4 linked regions of the Arabidopsis thaliana genome follow. The protein of the gene in region 1 interacts with the protein of each later gene in a pairwise test. Each region holds a gene or a part of one and is shown in the gene's direction. Other genes may lie near its edges. The genes, in order: AT4G12000, AT5G51160, ELIP1 and AT5G67130.

Evidence for each region.
Region 2: the proteins of AT4G12000 (region 1) and AT5G51160 interact in a protein complementation assay, tested with the Arabidopsis thaliana proteins (one large-scale study listed by BioGRID).
Region 3: the proteins of AT4G12000 (region 1) and ELIP1 interact in a protein complementation assay, tested with the Arabidopsis thaliana proteins (one large-scale study listed by BioGRID).
Region 4: the proteins of AT4G12000 (region 1) and AT5G67130 interact in a protein complementation assay, tested with the Arabidopsis thaliana proteins (one large-scale study listed by BioGRID).

What each region holds. Positions count from the first base shown.
Region 1 is NC_003075.7:7,191,709-7,197,790, reverse strand, and holds AT4G12000 (SNARE associated Golgi protein family), read left to right. Parts: upstream 1-2,574; 5' UTR 2,575-2,848; coding exon 2,849-3,127; intron 3,128-3,450; coding exon 3,451-3,687; intron 3,688-3,766; coding exon 3,767-3,984; intron 3,985-4,077; coding exon 4,078-4,264; 3' UTR 4,265-5,258; downstream 5,259-6,082. Other genes in the region: AT4G12010 (Disease resistance protein (TIR-NBS-LRR class) family), read left to right, coding at 1-466; AT4G12005 (uncharacterized protein), read right to left, coding at 706-900, 1,038-1,085.
Region 2 is NC_003076.8:20,789,818-20,795,040, forward strand, and holds AT5G51160 (Ankyrin repeat family protein), read left to right. Parts: upstream 1-2,255; 5' UTR 2,256-2,462; coding exon 2,463-2,966; intron 2,967-3,039; coding exon 3,040-3,864; 3' UTR 3,865-4,024; downstream 4,025-5,223. Other genes in the region: AT5G51150 (Mitochondrial import inner membrane translocase subunit Tim17/Tim22/Tim23 family protein), read left to right, coding at 10-109, 203-301, 459-806, 917-1,009, 1,114-1,320, 1,412-1,678; AT5G51170 (U6 snRNA phosphodiesterase-like protein), read right to left, coding at 4,089-4,286, 4,400-4,465, 4,563-4,659, 4,738-4,984, 5,168-5,223.
Region 3 is NC_003074.8:8,083,429-8,088,068, reverse strand, and holds ELIP1 (Chlorophyll A-B binding family protein), read left to right. Parts: upstream 1-2,399; 5' UTR 2,400-2,623; coding exon 2,624-2,767; intron 2,768-2,853; coding exon 2,854-2,952; intron 2,953-3,096; coding exon 3,097-3,441; 3' UTR 3,442-3,664; downstream 3,665-4,640. Other genes in the region: AT3G22845 (emp24/gp25L/p24 family/GOLD family protein), read right to left, coding at 39-225, 481-696. UniProt on the Arabidopsis thaliana protein: Prevents excess accumulation of free chlorophyll by inhibiting the entire chlorophyll biosynthesis pathway (e.g. 5-aminolevulinate synthesis and Mg-protoporphyrin IX chelatase activity), and hence prevent photooxidative stress.
Region 4 is NC_003076.8:26,789,189-26,795,146, forward strand, and holds AT5G67130 (PLC-like phosphodiesterases superfamily protein), read left to right. Parts: upstream 1-2,110; 5' UTR 2,111-2,410; coding exon 2,411-2,515; intron 2,516-2,609; coding exon 2,610-2,732; intron 2,733-2,969; coding exon 2,970-3,107; intron 3,108-3,188; coding exon 3,189-3,287; intron 3,288-3,379; coding exon 3,380-3,683; intron 3,684-3,769; coding exon 3,770-3,993; intron 3,994-4,065; coding exon 4,066-4,152; intron 4,153-4,260; coding exon 4,261-4,461; 3' UTR 4,462-4,694; downstream 4,695-5,958. Other genes in the region: AT5G67120 (RING/U-box superfamily protein), read right to left, coding at 161-274, 352-549; AT5G67140 (F-box/RNI-like superfamily protein), read right to left, coding at 4,821-5,036, 5,116-5,214, 5,307-5,442, 5,684-5,830, 5,937-5,958.

The sequences.
Region 1 (6,082 bases):
GAACAAAGACAGTTCCTTCACGAGATTTGATTTCACTCTCGCAGGCTGGAACGAACCATGTGGATCCCTTAGCCATGAATCAAGAAAGCTCACTTCTGACCACGTTTTCATGGGATACAACAGTTGTTTTCTCGTCAAAAATGTCCATGGAGAGAGTAACAGCTGTTGCTACACAAAGGCTTCGTTCGAATTCTATGTGACAGATGATGAAACAAGGAAGAAGATAGAAACTTGTGAAGTGATAAAATGTGGGATGAGTTTAATGTATGTTCCTGAAGATGATGATTGTATGTTGCTAAAGAAGACAAATATAGTTCAGCTGAGTTTGAAGAGCGGACCAAGTTGTTCCTACGATCTTGATGATGTTATGGATGACGTTAGACCCAAGAGAGGACTTTGCCAGTTTGTTGGTGGTGAAGAACCAGGTTGTAAGAGAAGGAAGGAGGAGAAGATCACAGTGAGATAGAATCTTAAGTTATGTCAAAAATTTTGTTTTATTAAATGTCAGTACACATCACCATTAACAGAAAAAGAGAGAATGTGCAATACTGATTTAAACTATGGACAGCTACTAAAATAATCAGGTAATCATTATGTGCATCCATATATTCAAGAACCGTATATCTATTAAAGATCAACAATGACAACAAGAAAACAAAGATGATCTTAGAACTTTAAACTTGTGAATGAATATCTTGGCTTTCATTATGCAGCTAGAAAGAACCGAACTTTGGAGCTATAAGCTAATTTCGAAATGTCGATTCCACATATGGAGCTAGAACTACACACATACATAGAAGTTAAGAGAGCACTTACCACGGTTGTCAAATCACTCAGAGTGCATTGTATGGTTGCATAAACCTCACATGTAAATCTCAAACGGCATAATGTCACCTGAAACTTCATACCAAACCAATTTTCAAAGATTAAACATATACTGGAGAAAATGATGTAACATGTCAAAGCACAGTCAATTTCTAAACAAACACTTTAATCTCAGGAGAAAGAAGAAAAACAGATTGCTTGGATCAACCAACCTCGTGGATTCTGAAACTTTGTGAATCTTGTTTCACGTTTTTTTCCATCAAATTTATAATTTTGATAAATTTGGAATCCAAATTTCAGAGTATGGCCGAAGAGAAGATGGCCGGAGAGGTTTCAAGAGATATCCATTAAAATCCAAGAGCGGTGAAAGTGAGAATAGGCGTTTTTGTGACGAGTCGAGAAGAAGAAAATTCGATCTCGGAACAGTAGAAAAGTAGCTCGCGGGAAAGATATCGGAAATGTTGCCGTTTCGGTGGTGGAAGGCATTGCGGCGATGGCGTCGTCAGATTGTGGTGACAAAGACAAATCGAAATTGAGGAAATTGGGAAATTGCGAAAACCGGGTCCACGGAGAATACGGAATGTCGACCACAGTGGATTATTGGTCGGTGAAATTAAACACGTATAATAAAATTAAAATAAAAGCTCAAAAAGTGGGAAACCCGCGACAAGCTAACCTCCTTATTTGTGGCCACGTGTATGGCCACCATCTCACTTCGTTGATGAATGTCTAGTAATGCCTAGTAAGAAACCAACATATATTATTCAATTTAAAAATATATGTATTTAATATTTTACATTAACTATAATATTTAAATAGTAATTCAGATTAATATTAATATTAATAAAATAAATAAATTCTTATCGAGACAAATTTAACGGAACGAATTTTAAAAATAATATTAATAAAAAAATTAAAATATCATTAATATATTGTTTTAATATAGTTTAAGTTTTAAATTTATTATTTTTTGATACTATCAATATTATACATATAAATCAGTCTGATTTACAAAAATTATATAAAATAAAATATATATAGTAATATAATGTTTTTAGTAACAATTAAATTATAAAATATAAATATCTCAGAAAATGATATAATTTAAAAACTTATATATAATAAATAATTTTTAATTTTAATATTTTTATTAAATATTACATGAGATGAGTTAAGAGATTACAAGACGGTTTATATTGTGGAACGGATTATAGTAGATGAGTTTGAATCAATATTTATAAATTTTTAAAATATCAGTAATATGCTGGTTTAATACGAATTAAATCCTCAAGTTTTAATTATTGTTCTTAAATTCGTGGTATATGTTACTTAATAACAATCGTAAACAAAACAAAAAAAATATTATATAAAGATAAATAATTTAAAATTTTATATTTTATATATATATATATATATTAGAAAAAAAAATTATCATGCGGTATATTACGGATTTAAAATCTGGTTTTATAATATACACCTCCCAATCAAAACAAATTTTACAACTACACCAAAATATTTGTCCCTAATTATTTTGAGACCTTAAAATCTTACAATGTAAAATTTGGTAGGGGCCTTAAATTATTATTTTTTTTCTTTCTAACAATATCCACACGCTTTTATGCCGACATGGTCCAGGTGTTTTCAAACTACATATTTTATTATTTTTCGTCAACCGTGAAATAACTATTTTATATTTCCTAGAATTTTTGGTAAACTGAATAAAAAATATAAAAAAATGCAAGTAACGACGGAAGAAATCATAAAGTAATAAGAAAATAATTTAAAAGAATGGGTACATGCGTCAAGCCATGACATTAACAAACAAACCGAAAAAAGAAAAAAACTCATCTTTCTCCAAAATCACACAAATCTTCTTTATTTGTTATTCTCAATCCTTCCTTCATCCCCAGGTTTCTTTCGATTCGTTGAGTCATTCAATTTTTCCATCACTGGGTTTTTCTCTCTGAATCCGATCGGAGAATCCAGTCGATTACTAATCTAGCGCTCTCTTTTTTTCTACTCGATGACTTATCACGAAGAAGACGATACAGTTTCTGAATTTCGAGTTAGAGTTGAAGAAGATGGAGTTGATAAATTAGGTCATTATGTTAAACTTACTGAAGATTTCGAAGTACATCGACAAGAAACAGAACAAGAATCTTCATCATCACCGTCTTCTTCTTCTTCATGTGGACAGAAACGATCTGTTTGGTTTTGGATCAAGCTTGGTCTTTTCTTCACTTTTCTAACTGCTTTGGGTCTCGCTGGTTACAAATGGCTATACCCTTTAATCATGGATAAGGTTTTCAATTTCCTCCAATGATTTCTTGTTGAATTGATCTTCTTCTGAAAGTCTTCTTCTTTATCTATTGGGTTTGATTATAGTTTCAACTACTGAATTAGATCCTTAGTGTATAAAAGAGGTTCCTTTATGATTTTGGTTCATGTGAATTGAAACTATGTATCCCTACGATTAGCTCAGTATCCAATAACCAAAGTGAGGTTTCGTTGTTGATGTTCTGTGTCTAAAATCGGTAGATTTTCGATGCTGGTGACAAATTCAGTCAGTGACATATTTGGCTCTGTTGCTGATTATGGGATTATCCATTTAACTTTTGTTTGCAGGAGCTAATCCCACTCATAAAATGGGAGATGGAGACATTTACACACCCTGTGTGCGGTATTCTTGTGTTTGCATCAGTCTCTTTATTCCCTGTGATACTTATTCCAACTACGCCGTCAATGTGGGTGGCTGGGATTACATTTGGTTATTTCTATGGCCTTCTCCTTACTCTTCCAGCTGTAGCTATTGGTGTTTCACTTCCTTACTTCATCAGCTATCTCTTCCTCAACAAAATTCAAGTATGTGTCTCGCTTAAGAACCAGTTATATTCTTAGTAACGACTACTTTGTATGTTGCTGAAATTGATGAATGTTGCAGGGTTGGTTAGAAAGATATCCAGATCAAGCTGCAATGTTGAGAGCTGCTGGTGGAGGCAGTTGGTTTCATCAGTTTCGTGCAGTTACCTTAATCCGGATTTCTCCATTTCCTTTTGCTGTATATAATTACTGCGCTGTTGCAACTCGTGTGAAGTTCGGTCCTTACATGGCTGGTTCTCTCGTAGGCATGGCGCCGGAGATTTTTGTCGCAATTTATACGTAAGTGTGGAAATGACTTACAATTTTCTTGGTAATGAATGAATGATTGATTTAGCATCCTGATAGTATTTTTGTTTGTTTTGGTGTTTGCAGAGGGATTCTTATAAGGACATTGGCAGATGCATCCACTGCGGAACAAAAGGGTCTCTCGATTCTTCAAATTGTTCTCAACATTTTTGGTTTTGTAGCAACTGTTGTGACAACTGTTCTCATCACTAAGTATGCGAAAAGACAGCTTGAAGTTATGAAGAAGGAGAAGGAAGCTTTGTTGTTACAGTAATGGAGACAACAACCTCAGAAGTTATGTCTCTGCTTATTCCCAAAGTACAGGTTTTCGTCCATGATGTGAAAGAACTCTTGATTTTTGGTCTCTGTTTTGGTTTGTTTATAGCCGAGAAATGAAAGGGTATAAAAGAAATTATAATGACTATATAAACACTAACTAAACTCTCTAACACGATTTAATCTTATTTGCGTTTTCTCAATCTTTTGTTTTTTGATGTTTGAAAAGAATGGATCAATTGAAAACTTAAGATCATTACTCCTCCTTCGTTTTCTCGTTTATATTCTCTAGTAAGTATGAACTAACTATGAAGATTGGAAATTGTCTAATTGGTAAATAGTGCAAGTGTTGTGTCAGATATTCGTAGGTGACTAGTGAAAACTTGCACTTCGAATATTATGGGCTGCATTGAGAAAAAGCCCAATATAGCTTAGATGGCCATTTAATTGTTTCTATCAAAATCAAATGCGTCTCTTTTTCGAACTATAATGGTCAAGAGTTATTTGTAGCCTACGAGTACGACATTGCTATGCGTTCGACATATTAAATGGTGGAATTGAAGAAGAAACCTTAGCTATGATTCATCACAATATGTATGATCTATATTTTTTCAATTTGAAATAATGGAGTTATTCTAGACCAAATCGAATCTTTTGTTAAATGGATTTCTACTAAAATTAATCAAAGACTGTTTTAATTACCATTTTTTTTTTTTTGCGGTTTGTGAAACCAGTGTGAATCTGCCCAAGTGAAGAGTGCGAGAGATAAGAGGAGAAGAACTATATGGAGAGTTCTTGGGGATTTGAAGCTGCGGTTTTTCTAGTATCGGATTTGGACATCTATATTCTGCTTGAAAATTCACACTAGAAAATGAAGTGCTTCTGCGAGTCATTTGTCTCTTGCATAAGATACAAAGTGGAATTGAAATAACTTTATGTGAAATATATATAATTCTAAAATATGAAGCTAAATATAAACCAATTTTCTACATAAGCTTTTTCAAATTTTAAAGATATACTTACAAGAATCGATCAATAATTGATTCAGTTTTTTTATTTTTTTTTATTTTTATACTGGTGCATTTGAAGCTCTCCTAAGTCCTATAACACAACAAATATGTTCAACTACTCTCATCCCGAAATAAATGTTGTCTTAATTCCCTTCAAAAATGCTTTTGGTCCAAAACCCAATATCCTTTGAAACACTTTTGTCTAAAAGTATATGTAAAGCCATTTACATTTTGTCCTACCTATGAACCACAAAATTAAATATTTGTCTTATTCTCTAAATATTTCTTTTAGATTAAAGTATGTGTATTCAATCAGCAGTAAAAAAGTTACATGTCAAGACTTAATGTAGTTTGCATTTTCTGAATATTCTGGTTTGAATTAAACTATATATGCTTCTGACTCGGTACCACTTTCAACAGTCTATCTATGTGTCTTTTTCATGCGAATAAAATCCATTGCTCATTAATGGTAATTTGTCATCTGGTGAAACACATGCTTTTCTATAGGAAAATGACTTTCAAATTCAGTTACACATTCAAGAGATTTTAAATGTTACACATTACATTCAATGTCTTAAAAGTTTTAGGCTTTAATTAGGATATTTGGGTGGACACCAAATAACAAAATATTTCGTTAAATTTTAAATAACAGTGTAAACCATACACCGTAAAAAAAGATCTCACATTAGAAAGTTAAAAAAATGAAAAATGATTTGAGTAGTATATAAGTAACTTACCAATCAACTCATTGTCAATTAATTTGTAGTTGAAATCCTATAAAACTTAAAATAATATTAGAGCCCGAA
Region 2 (5,223 bases), on another chromosome or scaffold:
GTGGAGCAGAGTCTTAGCAGGTTCAGTTGCGGGTTTGTCTATCTTGGCTTTAGATGATTCCAACCAGCGTCGCACACTTGCTCTATACCTCTTGGCTAGATTAGGCCAGGTACATCTAATGGTCATAGTATTGTCTGTCGTACAGAGTAATATCACCACACAGATGTTTTTTTCGGAGTCTGATTTTTTCTCTTATTAATAGGCGGCTTATAATTCCGCTAAGTCAAAGAACAAGTTCCATCTTTGGGGTAGCCATTGGAGACATGGAGATTCGTTACTTTTTTCTCTTGCATGTGCTCAGGTATTTGAGATTCTTCTCTTTTCTTCCTGTTCTAGTTAGTAATGGAGATAGTATAGACGTTGAAAGACATTTTTGTGTACCATACGTATTCTCTCCAATGTGATTTGGTAGTGATTATGGTCAGCAAGCTAATTTTGTTGCAATGAGGTCGGTGCAGGTTATGTATTCCTTTATAATGCGTCCTGAAACCTTGCCAAAATCATATAGAGAATTTATTCAGAAGACTGGTCCAGTTGCAAGGCCTGTCTACCAAGCTGTAAGAGAGTGCTGCAGAGGTGGTCCAATTGATGTAGCCTCCTTGTCAGCCTATATTTCTAGTAAAAACGAAGCAAGCGACGTGAAGGTGGAAGAGTTTGCTTCCATCATTCCCTGTGCAGCTATTCATCCAAACACTAACTCGTGTCTGGCCCAAAATGCTAATGCAATGTCAGCTACATTCAAGAAAACATTTCCATTATATTTCTCCCTGACTTTTGTCCCATATGTTGTTCTACACCTACAAAAAGTAAGACTGTCCCTCAATATTTGCCGTTTCAGTCTTTTAGATTCCTATGGTTTATGCATTAGTCAGACATGATATGTAGTTTCTGATGCCATCCTACACTTTCATTTCAGTTCATGGCTTCTCCTTACCGGACATCTTGGCTTGCAATCAGAGATTCAGTTAGATCGACGTCCTTCTTGTCTGCTTTTGTTGGGATTTTTCAGGTAGCTGGTTTTTACATTTGATTTGTGTCCCCTCATTTCATACAATTCACATAGTTTCCTAAAACCATTCCCAAATGTATGTGCCTTCATCCCATTTGCATTAGGCTTTCATATGTGCCCATAGAAAAGTTGCAACCAAAGACCACAAGCTCGTTTATTGGTTTGCGGGTGGTGCAGCAGCCCTCTCAGTTATGCTGGAGAAGAAACCGAGACGCTCTGAGCTTGCTCTATATGTTCTTCCCCGAGCAGGAGATTCTCTGTGGGAGATACTTGTTAATCGCCACCTTCTTCCCGACATTAAAAATGCTGAGGTACAATACAATTACAAACCACTTTTGTTATTTCCAACTTTCTTCCCCTTTGAGCAATGGAACTGATGTTTTATACAATTAATGGAAACAGGTGGCTTTATTCTGTGGATGCATGGGAGGAATAATGTACTACCTCGAATATGAACCTGATACAATGGCTCCGTTTCTGAGGGGACTCATCCGTCGGTTTCTTGCTAGCCAAATAAGCAATCCTAGCAGCAAATACCCTCATAGTTCGTCCTATTCTTATCTCCAGACCCTAGATGCATTGAAGAAACCGAAAACGCAGGAGAGCCGAGAAGGCGAAACTCCGAAAGCCGAAGAAAAGTATAACTTGGAAGCAATTCCCGGTCTTTAGAAGTATAAGCAGAAGCTGTCTGATACTATATTAGCACCTGACGTTGAAATTGAGCAAACCAAAAAGGACCCTTTACGGAATCATGATTTTGATTGTGTTTCAGGAAGTTAATGTGAAACTTTCCAGAAAGAAAGGGTTCCTCCACACAGAAAACTTAAGAGATTGAAGTGATTCATAGGATTTAGGAGCCTGTTTTTTATTTTCTTTCACGTAATAACAACAACTCCACTGTCTCTTCTTTATTTCAATGAGAAGTAGCAGAATGAAGAAGATTTATGGCAAGCGAGTCAAGCTGTCTTGATTTGTTAACACCAACACAGTGTTGAAACTTGAAACAGATCACTAGATATATTCCTTTTTGTCTTGTTATAATCTTGATCTATTGCTTAAAAACTCACTTCAAGAAAAACACAGTTTTGTTTAGTTTCCTAATGCAAGTTCTCTCAACCGATGGAAAAAAAGTCAATTCGTCTAAGATTTGACTCTCATACCCAAAAACTATTGTATTACTCAAATTGTTGAAATTTCATCTGTATTGGTCGGAGCGGATATGAATTTGCACATACGATGATCTCAGGGTCAGAAAATCAAAAGATAAAGTAATGCAAACAACTGACACTTGTAAGCATTTGTTCCACTTTAAGGAATACTTCATATGCTACAAAGTCAAATGTCAAAGGGAGTTTTGTAATAGAAAATTTCAAACAAGCGTCGTGATGGTACACACCTTCATTGTATATTCAACTCGATCTTCTCTCTCTCTTTCTTCTGCATCATCACCAAAATGGATGCTTTTGAGACTCATTTACCGAAGGAGATCGTCTCTGATCCTCTCTATAACTCCTTCAACCCAAGGAGTGAAGAGTATGTCGTCGCCGGAAAGATTCTCAGGCAGCGGTCAGTCTTTGACTTGGACAAAAACGGGTTTAGCCCTCTTCATGCAGCTGCGGCAGCCGGACAAGTAGAGACTGTGAGGGCAACTTTGGGGGTTGAAAAGAAGCTTTGCCGCTTAAAAGATAGAGATGGAAAGACTCCTCTACATGTGGCAACGATGAGAGGGAAAATCGATGTGATCAGAGAGATTGTAGCGAGCTGTGTTGATTGTTTAGAAGACGAGACCGTACAAGGTCAAACTGCTTTGCATCTTGCTGTTCTGCACCTAGAGATCGAAGCAGTCATAGCCATTGTTGAGTTGATCACAGAGACAAATCGATTTGATGTGTTGAATAAGAAAGATGAACAGGGTAACACTGCTCTTCATCTTGCAACCTGGAGAAAAAATCGCCAGGTACGACGAATTAAGTTGCGGTTAAATAGTTTTCTTCCAGTGGAATCAAACTCTGTTTTTCTTTTGCCTACAGGTGATTGAAGTGTTGGTTCAGGCAATACCAGAAGAATCAAGGTCATTTGAGGTGAATGCTATGAACAAGATGGGTCTATCAGCGATGGATTTGCTGGTTATGTTTCCGAGCGAAGCTGGCGATAGAGAAATCTATGAGAAACTCATCGAAGCTGGAGCTCAGAGAGGGCGAGACATTGGCACTACTAATGTCGAGAGAACCACTTCTACTTCCACATGCCAAGAGAGAACAATGAAGTCCCAAAGCCATAAAGAACTTGTCAAGTACTTCACTTTCAAAAAGCACAGAGACTCACCATCAGAAGCACGTAGCGCATTACTAGTGGTGGCTTCACTAGTCGCCACAGCCACGTTTCAGGCCAGCTTGACCCCACCAGGTGGAACCTGGCAAGATAGCTCAATACCTGCTGTATCCCAGAACACAACGAATGTGAATACTACAAATCAACAAGCTCATACAGCAGGGCAATCTATCATGGGGACCTTCAATGGAGTTGCTTTCACTTTGTTTGTGTTCTTCAACACAATTGGGTTTTCGGTTTCACTGTCTATGCTCAACATTCTCACCCTCGGGTTCCCATTGCGGTTCCAGCTTCAGATCTGTATGATTGCTATGTATTTCTCGCACAACACAACCATGGCCAGCATTGCACCTGATCATGTCAAGCTTTACTGCATTCTCATCACATCCATCCTCGCTGCTACCACCCCGGGTTTGATGAGGTTGCTCGAGAACCCTATTGGTATGCTCGCTCACTTCTTGGACTCCAGGTCACAAAAAATTTGCTCCATGATTTCACTTTCATGTAAACGTTTTGTAACATAATAGTAGCCAGTTCAATATCTACCTTATTTCAAATCACAAGGACTTGTTGTTGCATTGTCCAGAAATCACCAATGTTATTACGAGTGATATTATGATATATGGAGACTTTTTTCTATGAAGAGACATATATTATGGAATACCCAAGAACACAGATCAACTCATCCTTCTATGTCGTTACAAATGCATACCTGATTGGTCTGCAAACACAGAAATTTGAGATTTTCTTATTCATCTGGGAGTTTACATATTTTGTGTGTTTTGTTTCCTATCTTACACTCGATCCCACAAAACTTAGAGGTGAAGATACGATTCTGCACACAACCACCTGCTCTAAGCTTCCTAAGTTCCACGTCAACAGCTCCCTTTAGGGAAGTTCTAATATCACCCAACGCCCAGACCAAGGATATATGCGGCCGCGGATCCTAAAAGAAAAATTGAAGCAGACTCGATGGGATAAGTGTCCATGACGATTTTCATTGGCTAAACAGTAAAATACAATCAAGCTGTAAAGTACTATATAGAAAAGCAAGTGGACCTTGTAGAACTCCGGCAGATTGTGGAGCTTGTAAACTTCATTAACAGCATCAATTTGCTTACTTATCTGAATTAAGGATATGATAATCAGTACAATATCTAACACAAGGTACTGAGTATGCAAAAATCCAACATTCAAGGTTAACTCTTGTTGTACAACATACCTCGGATAGTCCTGAAGTAGTGATTTCCAAAGAAAGGAAAGAGCGAGTATGGTCATCATTCACAAAGACTTCCCACTTATTGAAATCTATCAAGTATCTGTCAAAAACAGAACGGAAAACAATTCACAAACCCCATCGTAATTTGGGTAGTATGGTAGGCAAGAAATGATCTTACCTCTTCTGCAACTGAAGCTTTTGCCGAAGCATAGAAATCACCGAGTTAATCTGATGAACACGTAGTGGAACGTTTCTTCCTAAGCTTATGTGGAACTCTCTCCCCAAGGCACGCTCAAACTTCTGATCATCCTTGCATAGAATGCTGAGTGGCACATCAGCCTCTACCAAATGAAGATGAGGAACAACTGATGCAACCTTCTTTAAAAAACATACAATCTCCTTCTTTGGCAGTGGAGGTATACAAACTAGAATCCCAAAAACAAAATAAACAATGAGTGAAAGAGAAAGACAAGTGATACACTTCATCAGGCCTGCACTTCATCAATACATTCTCAAACACATACGTATCCTCTTATACTAAACAACCACTTCAGAATTCAAAAACCTCGAAACTCTCAGAAATTTTAAGCTACGAAATGAACAAATACCAGGTACGTAAACGTGCAAAGCGTAATTTCCATCGACATGAGGAAAGTTTCTTACA
Region 3 (4,640 bases), on another chromosome or scaffold:
AATGAAGATGATCATACATAAGGGGAATGGAAACGAACCATCTTTGGCTAAGTCATGCTCATTAGGAATATGACCAACATGAATATAAAAGGAGACAGTTTCAGGAGTAGAATAAGGATTGTGGAAACAAAATTTGTACATTCCACTTTTTGGAGCCTTAAACTCAAACTTATCTCCAGATGTTCCCTTTAAAGTCTGTACAATGTTCCCAGCTGGTGACGTCACCTACACAAACACAATCCAATGAATCAATCAACACATTAACCCTAACCAAAATCCAATCCAATCCAATCAAAGATAGCAAATTTCCACAATCCCAACCAAACCCTAAATTGTCACATCCTTACAAAGATCAGATCAGGTCAAAATTAAGCATGAGAAACACCAATTTCACGATAAATCAAACATTGGGATTATCGAAGGAAACGTATCAAAGTTAAGAACTTTTGGGGTAAAAAGGTAAATTGAAAGATCGCTAACCGTGAAATCCAAACCAGGATGATCGGATCCCCAGAAGATATCATGATCGACGACGACGAAGTTACCGGAAACAGTGTCGCCTTCGTAAAGGACGTACTCTTGGACACATTCTTCGTCGTTCACCGTTACAGAGAGAGATGAGATTTGATTGATTGAATTCAATAGAATTAGACCTATCAATACAAAGACATGGATCTTCGCTTGTCGTCTCTCCATCTTTTTTTTTAGATCTTCTTCGATCAAAAAAATTCAGTTTGTTTTCTCGAGAGAATTCGCCGAGTAGAGGAAGAAGAAGAAGACAAAGAGGATTTTATTGCGACTTAGATTACCAAACCGGAAATTAAAACCGGTTTATGACGACACGGGGAGATTTTATTGGTCAACGGCTTTTGGTCATTAAAGAGAGTTAGAGAAAAATATTACTAATTTTAATGTAAGTAAAATACGATCTAAATTATGATTAAATTGATAAAATTTTACTTCAAAAAGTGTTTCAGTGATGTTTGTTTTTACAAAAAATTTTTGATTTTTGTATATATATTGGTTAATGACTTAATGTACGTTTTGGAAGTTTTTTTTATCTACGCCATTGATATGTGTTAAAAAGAATTGACTGTTATGTATGCATAATAATGTCAAGGTAGTTTTTATTTATTTGGTCAATAATGTCAAAGTACTTATATTCTAAGAAATCATTATTTCCGGGAACAAAATCTAAAGAATCATATGTTTTCTTCTTTGTGTTACCATGTAAAAGTGAATCCTTCCAAATTTCCTTAGGTTGAGAATGACAATTCTTCTTTCATATGTTATCAAAGACTAAAATGATCAGAATGTCAATTTGCAGATTTGGTCAACACTACATTAGAAACGAACATATATGAGCGAAAGACATGATTTGGTTAGGGAAGCTAGAGTTGATGGGCCTAATGAGCCCTATACGGCCCGTTATGAGATACGTATGACTGTAAGAGTAAATAGTCTTTTTTTTCTTAACAGTAAATAATCTTTATCTCCATTTAATTGTAAAGTTATTGACATTTTGAAACGACCGTAAATATTACCAAAAAACTGACGGAGTTAGGATCGGCCACGTAGAAAGGGACAAAGAGAGAACAGTCACGGACTCGGCCAGACTAAGTATGGGCCTGTCTGAATCCAAACTCAGCTAAGTTCCAAAAGCATAAAGAGAGATGTGTAATGAAATGAACGTATTCTAGAAACGAAAGCAATGTTATGCTTTGTTTTTGAGCCACATGTTTTTGGGAGATGGAGAGAATCTTTTTTACGTTTTTAACCTAACCCACTTGGCACTTGGCCAAAAAAGTGAGAAGAAACTGTGGCGAATGAGTAGGCCACGCCATGGACTTTGTTCCTTGTCCTTCAAAAGTTAAATTTATGTTATGCGTGGGGACAATCTAAGCAACGTGGTTCCTTTAAATATCGCAGCTTCCTCTTTTACACTTTTGGAGCCTACGTGTTTTGTTTTGGACCGGCCAAATACACGAGTCAGTCAGTTTAGAAATAATTTGGATGTCCAAAAATCTTGGAGATCCAAATAAAATAATTAGCATGTTTTAGTTCATAAGAATATGAAATGTAGATAAACTGTCCATATTAATTTTTCCATAGAATTGGCTTTTTATCGAGGTGATGTACTTAATGACTTTGTTGATTACTACTCGTATAACAATAAAGAATATGATACTATGTGAGACTTATAATGAATTTGGTGTGTGTTAATTAATCCAGTTGAAACAGTTTAATAACAAATCAGAATAAAAATTGTAGTAAGAAAATTTGAACGCTGATCCTTCAACCTAGATAGTGAACCTTTCAAATACTATATGATTCACGTGTAATGTTTTTGACCGTTGGTTATTTTTGTGTGAACTATATTAACTTATCAATATCGAAAGGCTAAATAAGTAAATAACTAAAAGAAAGTTCAGGAAACAACTCGACCTAATGACCTATCATTTCTGATCACCCGTCCTATAAATACATACGTAAGATCATTCGTTACTCATATCAAGCTTCTACACACGATCTAGCTTAAAGTTCTGTAACCTAAGCGATAATCACTTAGCTACTCCAAGTTTCTTCTTAATTTCTCTCACACTAGTAGTTCTAAGCTTTAGAAATGGCAACAGCATCGTTCAACATGCAATCAGTCTTCGCCGGTGGATTAACCACTCGCAAGATCAACACCAACAAGCTTTTCTCCGCCGGTAGCTTCCCTAACCTCAAGAGGAATTATCCGGTGGGAGTGAGATGCATGGCTGAGGTACGTTATTCTCCACTTCCCTGATACAACGGCCATTCATCATGTGACTATGAAATCCTGACCGTCTGATTATTTGACTTTTTCAGGGAGGACCCACGAATGAAGACTCTTCACCAGCACCATCTACCTCGGCCGCTCAGCCGTTGCCGAAGTCACCATCTCCTCCTCCTCCTATGAAACCTAAGGTATAATTTTAGAAGTTTTGATAAACAAGAATTTGTATTTTAATTAATCGGGTCTTAGATATTAAGAACATACAATCTTGAAAATTCATTAAACAAGCTTTATTTGTGAATCTTTGTTAATAACTTTTGGGGTGGTGAATATAGGTGAGCACAAAGTTTAGCGACTTGCTAGCGTTTAGCGGTCCAGCACCAGAGAGGATTAACGGACGTTTAGCGATGGTTGGATTCGTTGCGGCGTTGGCTGTCGAGCTATCCAAGGGTGAAAACGTTTTAGCTCAGATCTCCGACGGTGGCGTCTCATGGTTCCTCGGTACAACAGCGATCTTGACACTTGCGTCGCTTGTGCCGCTTTTCAAGGGCATAAGCGTTGAGTCCAAGTCCAAAGGTATCATGACGTCAGACGCTGAGCTTTGGAACGGACGTTTCGCGATGCTCGGTTTGGTCGCGTTGGCGTTCACTGAGTTCGTCAAAGGTGGGACACTCGTCTAAGGAAAAGAGAGCACGTTATGGGGAGGATGTTTTAATACGATTTTGCCCATGTAATTTCTCTGTAAAGTAATCTGTGTTAGGCCTACTGTGTGTTTTATACATGTGTACTAAGTGACATTTTGAAACTTCGGGTTAAAAACACTTTAAAATTAGTGGTGTTCTATAAAGCTCTACGCCTTCCAAAAACTTTCAGAAATTATAACCATACAATATGTGACTTACAAGGCCAAATTATATTAATGGCCTGTCATCATAATTGCGAACCTAACAAATAACAATACACGATTTCACCTACTATCGAGTTTTACATTTAATGCTCATCTTATAAAAAGAAAAAAAGAAAAAAAATGTTAAGAAAATTCACATCTTTCATTTGCCGACGAAACAAGTGGTGAGTGATCCACTATAGATGATATATAATTCGAACAAATGGTGGATTCAGAAAAGTCTTAGTTAAAAATAAAATCAATATCATTAAGCGTAACTACTAAAATAAAAATACACAAAATATCAAAGAATCTTCAAACTGAATGAATCTCAAATCTTAATGCTGGGGAAGATAATAAATTTACCAACTCTAATTGCCATTTGAATAGATCATATACCGATAGATCTTATATATGTTTAGACATCACTTAAATATCAAGCAAAAAAAAAATTAGTGTATGAAAATCTAAGAATATTTTATCCTGAATACATAAAAAAAAAGGTATATGTAAACACAAACATAATTTACGTTTGAAATAATAAAATACTTTTTCGGTCATCGGAAAAACAGTACATAGAGAGAGGACCAGTGGACAGTGATTAACATTTAAAAAGAAACGAGCATGCGTGAAGTAAAGTAAATGGGCCATATTCCAAATAATTGGGCCAATGGCTTCATTGGAGATCCCTCATTTCCTAAGTCCAGTTAGAAAATATTGATTCTTTACATGTATGCAGGGAAAATAGCTTCCATTGGTTTAGTTATGGATTGTTCTCTTTTGTATAACAATTCTCTTACTAAATGACTTAAGATTATTTTGTTTATACGTTTCACGTGAGATCATAAAAGAGTTTGTTATCAGTAGAATTTATAAGTAATCAAAAGAAAAGTGTGAATCTTATATGGGCAAAATTCAATAAAAAGCCTCTAAAAATGTTATCTAGCAATGAAGTGACTCAGTGAGTCATGAAAAAAAACAGCAGAGCACGTG
Region 4 (5,958 bases), on another chromosome or scaffold:
GAATGTCAAAACAAATCAAAATCCTTTTTTTTTTTCTTTCAAATGTCAATAATATTGGATCTTATTTCCTCCAATATTGATTCATAAACTCTTGAAATATATTTGAAATGCTAAGAGATTTGCATATCAAAAGTTAATCTAGTCTAGATTTATACTATACCTCGTTAGTGAAGGTGTTTCCATGAGAAGATACATCTGTATACTCTACTACTGATGTTGTTTCAGATTGTTCATCGTTCCATGATTGTAACGAGTCCTGCTCGAACGTTGTTTCCTAAACAATTTTCATGTCTATATTATATCCAAATAAATTATTTCTCTTAAAAAAAACATTAGATAATAGATAATTACCCAACTAATTGTCCTCAGAAGGGAACCGGGCTCTATTGCCGGACCATCACCGTTCACATCAAGCGTTGGATCTGGTGAGATGTCATCAGCATCAACTGGTGAGTAAGTGTCCCATAGATCCCAGTCGTCTCCAAATAGTAGCCACATGAAGCTAAAAGGACTATCCGGTATCTCAGAATTGTCTTCGTTTGGATCCATACTTTTGGAGAAACATATTACCTGACTCAAAATTTTTTTTCAAGGGGCTAGATTAAGCTGAATTTATATAGATAATTAACACTTTCAAGTATCATCACCATTTAACTCTTCCATTCAAATGCAAATACTTGAGTGGACAGGATAGTCTTAATATTGATAAAGTAATAGAAAAAATAAAGACGTTATGAACAAAGAAAAACCACTAAATATATTGTAGCTCAGTTAAAGGAAAAATATATATACCAAATTAAGGCTTAAACGATAAATAATGCATATAACCCACTTTTCAGTGCCTCCATGGATAAAAGGATTTAGCAACTTTAAGGAAAAAAGGTTTATACCAAAAAAAAGTTCAAGGAGAAAAAGACCACTGATTTACAATTGTTGGGTAGTTTGAAGTCCCAAAATGTTAAAAATTCAATTAAAAAAATTGTGACAGCTAATAAAAATGGAACTTTAGCTGGATTCGGAAGATTTATTTTATTGAAAATAAGGATTCTGTTTTAATTATAGCTCTAATACAGTTGAATTGGTTTTTTATAGAAAAACATTTCTTTATTGAATTTTCTTCAATGGAAAAATATCATTTTAGAGTGAATAAGTACAAAAAATAATAAATGTTGCTTTCAACAAAAAAAGGAAGGAAATTTTATGTTTTGGCTTTGTATATTTGCTTTCAACGTCATTAAAACGCTTTTTAAACCGGAGATATGCATCTTGTTTTCCTCATTTACAAGTTCACAAGATGATTAATTACATTACTTGGGTCATGGGCTTAAAAAGAGAGAGTTTGGGTCCAACTAAAAAGGCTCAGTAAAATACGTAAATGGGCCTAGCGTTATAGCGAGAGGCAGAGAGAGAATTTACACGACGACGACGTCATACTCAATGGACGTAAATGTCCAAACTACAAAAGTTTTTTTTTTTTTTTGTGTATTAAAAAAAAAATCTCAAGTTAAAAACACATCAAGAGTATATTACAGCAACTTGTGTGTTAAATCACCAATTGTGAATAAATCGGTTATGGAAATCAATCATTTTTTTTTTTGGTTTAATGGAAATTAATCATTTGATCGTTAAGAGTGTCACTAATTCGATACGTCACTTGCTGACGAATCTGCAGATGAAATAGGCATGGTATGATAAATCTCGTTAAGAATAAAATTTCACCTAGATGTTTGAGTAATTTTTGTAAGATGATGAAAATTGTAACATTTTTCATTGAAAGAAGCAAAGAGACAAGCAACAAGACAAGAGTGTCCCCACGCATGTGAGCACCGTTAACCATAATAGAAAAAAGATATCTTCATCTAATAATAGGTGAAAAAATCTTATAACTGAGCAAATTTTAGAGAATGAAAATAGTGATCTGTGAAATAATTTTTTTTTTTTTTATGATAGACCTCACCTAACAACTAGAAGAAATAATATAAAACCATTATTACTTATATTGATAAACTCTTACAAGATCACTGTTTCCATAAATCTTGACAAAAATGTCACTCCATATGTTTGGTGTACAAGACTAGAAACTGTAGTTTTGAGTTATGTTATTATAATGTTAAACTGTATTATGCTCAAAATTGAACTCCTTTTGAAAGGTGGTTTATCTTCTTTACTAATCGTTTCTTCATTTTCTCTCTAGGAGCTAGGTGGGAAAAAGATTCAACCTTGTCTTAGAAAAAGAAAACCAAAGCTAATCTTTTTCTTTTGTACCTCTCTTTCAAGGATTAACAAAACAAATCGATGAAGCCCGGGTTTTAGTACCTAAACATCTCTTTGTCTCGTCTTTGAAAACCCCCCCAAGTAGATCCAACATCATTCATATCTCTCTCTCTATCTCTGCATAAGCTACGGAGCGATGTCGGCGTGCATCAATGGCTTATGCAGAGCCGTGACTGTCTCTCTTCTTCTTCTTCTTCTTTCTTTCTCTTTTTCCTCAGCTTGCTCCAATGGAAATTGCCAGGTTCTTGATTCTCTTTGCTTATTATTCTCTGGTTTATGGCTATCAAATTTGGGTCTAAATCTTTAGGGATTTTGCATTTTTGTGTCTCTTTCAGCTGCTGGATTCATGCTCCTCGGCTACTGATTGTGTCTCTGGTTTATACTGTGGAGACTGTCCTGCCGTTGGAAGAAGTAAACCCGTCTGCACAAGAGGCCAAGCCACAAGTCCAACTTCCATTGTGAGATTTAGTTCCTATAATTAGTTGGATTTCTCTAGAGTTTCCAATTTTTGAAGATGCGTTGTTTCAAAAGATAGTCTAGATCACTTGGTCTATCAAAAGTTTTGAACTTTGAAGATGGGTTTTGCTGAAGATTTCATTTGGTTGCATTAAAAGATAGTCTAGATCATTTGGTTGTATCAAAAGTTTTGAACTTTGAAGATGTGGTGATGAAATTTGTGTGTGTGTTTTTTGTAGATCAATGGATTGCCTTTTAACAAGTATACATGGTTGATGACTCATAATGCCTTTAGCAATGCAAATGCACCACTTTTGCCAGGTGTTGAGAGGATTACATTTTACAATCAAGAAGATACTATTACTAATCAGCTACAAGTAATGCTCTTATTACCAACTCTCTTATTATAGTTTCCTCTTTTTTTGGATAAAACTCTTGAATGTATATTTTTGTTCTAGAATGGAGTTAGAGGGCTAATGCTGGATATGTATGACTTCAACAATGATATCTGGCTTTGCCATTCGCTTCGAGGGCAATGTTTCAACTTCACCGCTTTTGTAAGTTTTATCTTCAGCTTAACCTTGCTGGATCGAAAGCTTGAAACCTGATTGGATTGGTAAATGTGAACTTTGTTTTCTTTTTGAATCAGCAACCTGCAATTAACATACTGAGGGAAGTTGAGGCATTTCTGAGTCAAAACCCAACAGAGATTGTTACCATCATAATAGAGGATTATGTGCACAGACCTAAAGGCTTATCAACACTGTTTGCCAACGCTGGTTTGGACAAATACTGGTTCCCTGTTTCGAAAATGCCTAGAAAGGGAGAAGATTGGCCTACTGTGACTGACATGGTGCAAGAGAATCATAGGCTCCTGGTTTTCACTTCTGTTGCTGCCAAAGAAGATGAAGAAGGCGTTGCGTATCAGTGGAGATACATGGTTGAAAATGAATGTGCGTATTACACACAGTTTATATCTTTAATGAAAATTGTCTCTGAGAATAACCTTCTCTTGCCATTTTCTTATGATTGTCTAAAGCTGGGGATCCCGGAGTGAAGCGAGGTTCTTGTCCTAACAGAAAAGAGTCTCAACCTTTAAATTCAAAAAGTTCTTCGCTATTCTTGATGAATTACTTCCCGACATATCCGGTTGAGAAAGACGCTTGCAAGGAGCACTCAGCTCCACTTGCTGAGATGGTTGGGACTTGTCTCAAGTCAGGAGGGAATAGAATGCCAAACTTTCTTGCTGTTAACTTCTACATGGTACTGAATCAATCATATAACTATAATATGACTGTTTTTACGAGATCTAGCTAACAAACCATAATATTGCAGAGAAGTGATGGAGGCGGCGTTTTCGAAATTCTGGATAGAATGAATGGACCGGTACTTTGCGGTTGTGAAACTCTTTCTGCTTGCCAGGTATTAACTTATTAACTCGCGCCAAAGTTACTTATGGGTATGAAATAAGATCTTACAAGCCTAAATTATCTAAAACCGGCACCCGTATTTTGGTTCTTGATGTTGCAGCCAGGAGCAGCTTATGGTTCATGCAAAAATGTTACTGTACAGACAAGAACTCCAAGCATGGATTCAACGGCTGGAAGCAACTCAGGTGGAAGCTACTCAGGTTCAGTTCAGTTCTCAAGATCTTTAGCTTCTGTGGCCCAACTAAACAACATTGTTGTCTTCTGCTTCTCATTGCTTCCGTTGCTGATATTTCTACTATGACACAACCAATCAAACCACGTGGAGAGATTCTTAGGTTAGAGAATCTTGATCACTTCTTTAGAACGAATGAGAGAGCCTAAGTTGACATGAATTGCCTTAGAAAGAGTTTCTGATTTGATTCTTGTATTGTAGACTGCAGAGCTATAGGCAGAAATCTTGTGTATGTGTGTCTTCAGCTTCTGTTGATTGTTATGCAACTTATATATATATATATATAGACACAATTCTACTCCAATAGAAACTTTACTGAATATTTATATATATATGTTGTTGATTGATGAGAGAACACATAAGATATATGCAGATTCAATTGTATGAATTACTATGTACACAACAAACAAGAAATATGATGAGCAACACTAGACAGCATGCAGCAACGGTGGTGGATTCTGAGCATTGAGAAGCAATTCCATGGGTTTGATCTGAAGAGCAGGACTGATGGTAAGTAAAGCAATGAAGCAATCTACAGGAACTCTAGTTCCCCATAAGTTGATGGATTCGAGTTTTCTGCATTTGTTTACAAGAACAAGAAGGCCTCTCTCTGTCACATGACGGCAACACCACATTCCGATTGTCTGCATAAAGGATTCCAATTTCGAAAGCGTGATTCTCATGAATCTAGAGAGAATTATTTGGTTAGATGATTGTTGTTACCTTAAGCTGATGGCAGCGTTCTGCAATTGCGAAAAGAGACTCATCGGTTATAAATGTTCCTCCTATGTTTAGGTGTTGCAGTGAGGAAGTTCTTGAAATCTGTCAAATCAAAATCAAGATTCTCTGAAATGATTAAAACAAAAAAGGAATCTTCAAGATTCCAGTGCACAAAAAACGGTGTTAGATTTTACCAGTTGAACAACACCAGAATCAGTAATGGCGGTCATGCCCCATAAAGAGACAGAGTTTAAATTGGATACACATCTTGCAGAAGCTATTTGGTAAAGACCATTATCAGTTATATGACAACCCCATCTGCTTCGAGATCTTCAAATATGAAAGAAGAAAAAAACAGAGTTTATAGTTCTGTTCTGTTTTTTGACCAAGTCAATATCCTATCTCAAACACCCTAAAGGTAAAGTTGGAAACTTGACCAAAAAATTCAGCAAATCTCCACTATCCCACCAATCTTGTTTACTCTTAATCCGCCATTGAAGGACAAATCAAGTACGATCATAGTACAAGAAACAAACAAAGAGCAAAACAGAGAGAAAGAGAGAGAGATTACATGTCGAGTTCTTTGAGGTTGAAAGCAAGATGAACGAGACGAGAAGTGGAATCATCGTCCATTTTCCAACCAGCAAAGCTCAGAGTTTCTCTTCTCGCCATCGATTGATTTACAGCTTTTCTCCATTTCTTGCAAACACCACTTGCCCTAAAAACCCCAAAATTCACCAAAAACTTCAATCTCACAACAATGATTTATTTAATCAAAAAAAGAGAGGATCAAACTTGTAAGGATCATCAATGAAAACACTTACTGGGCCAAAACGGTGAAAGAAG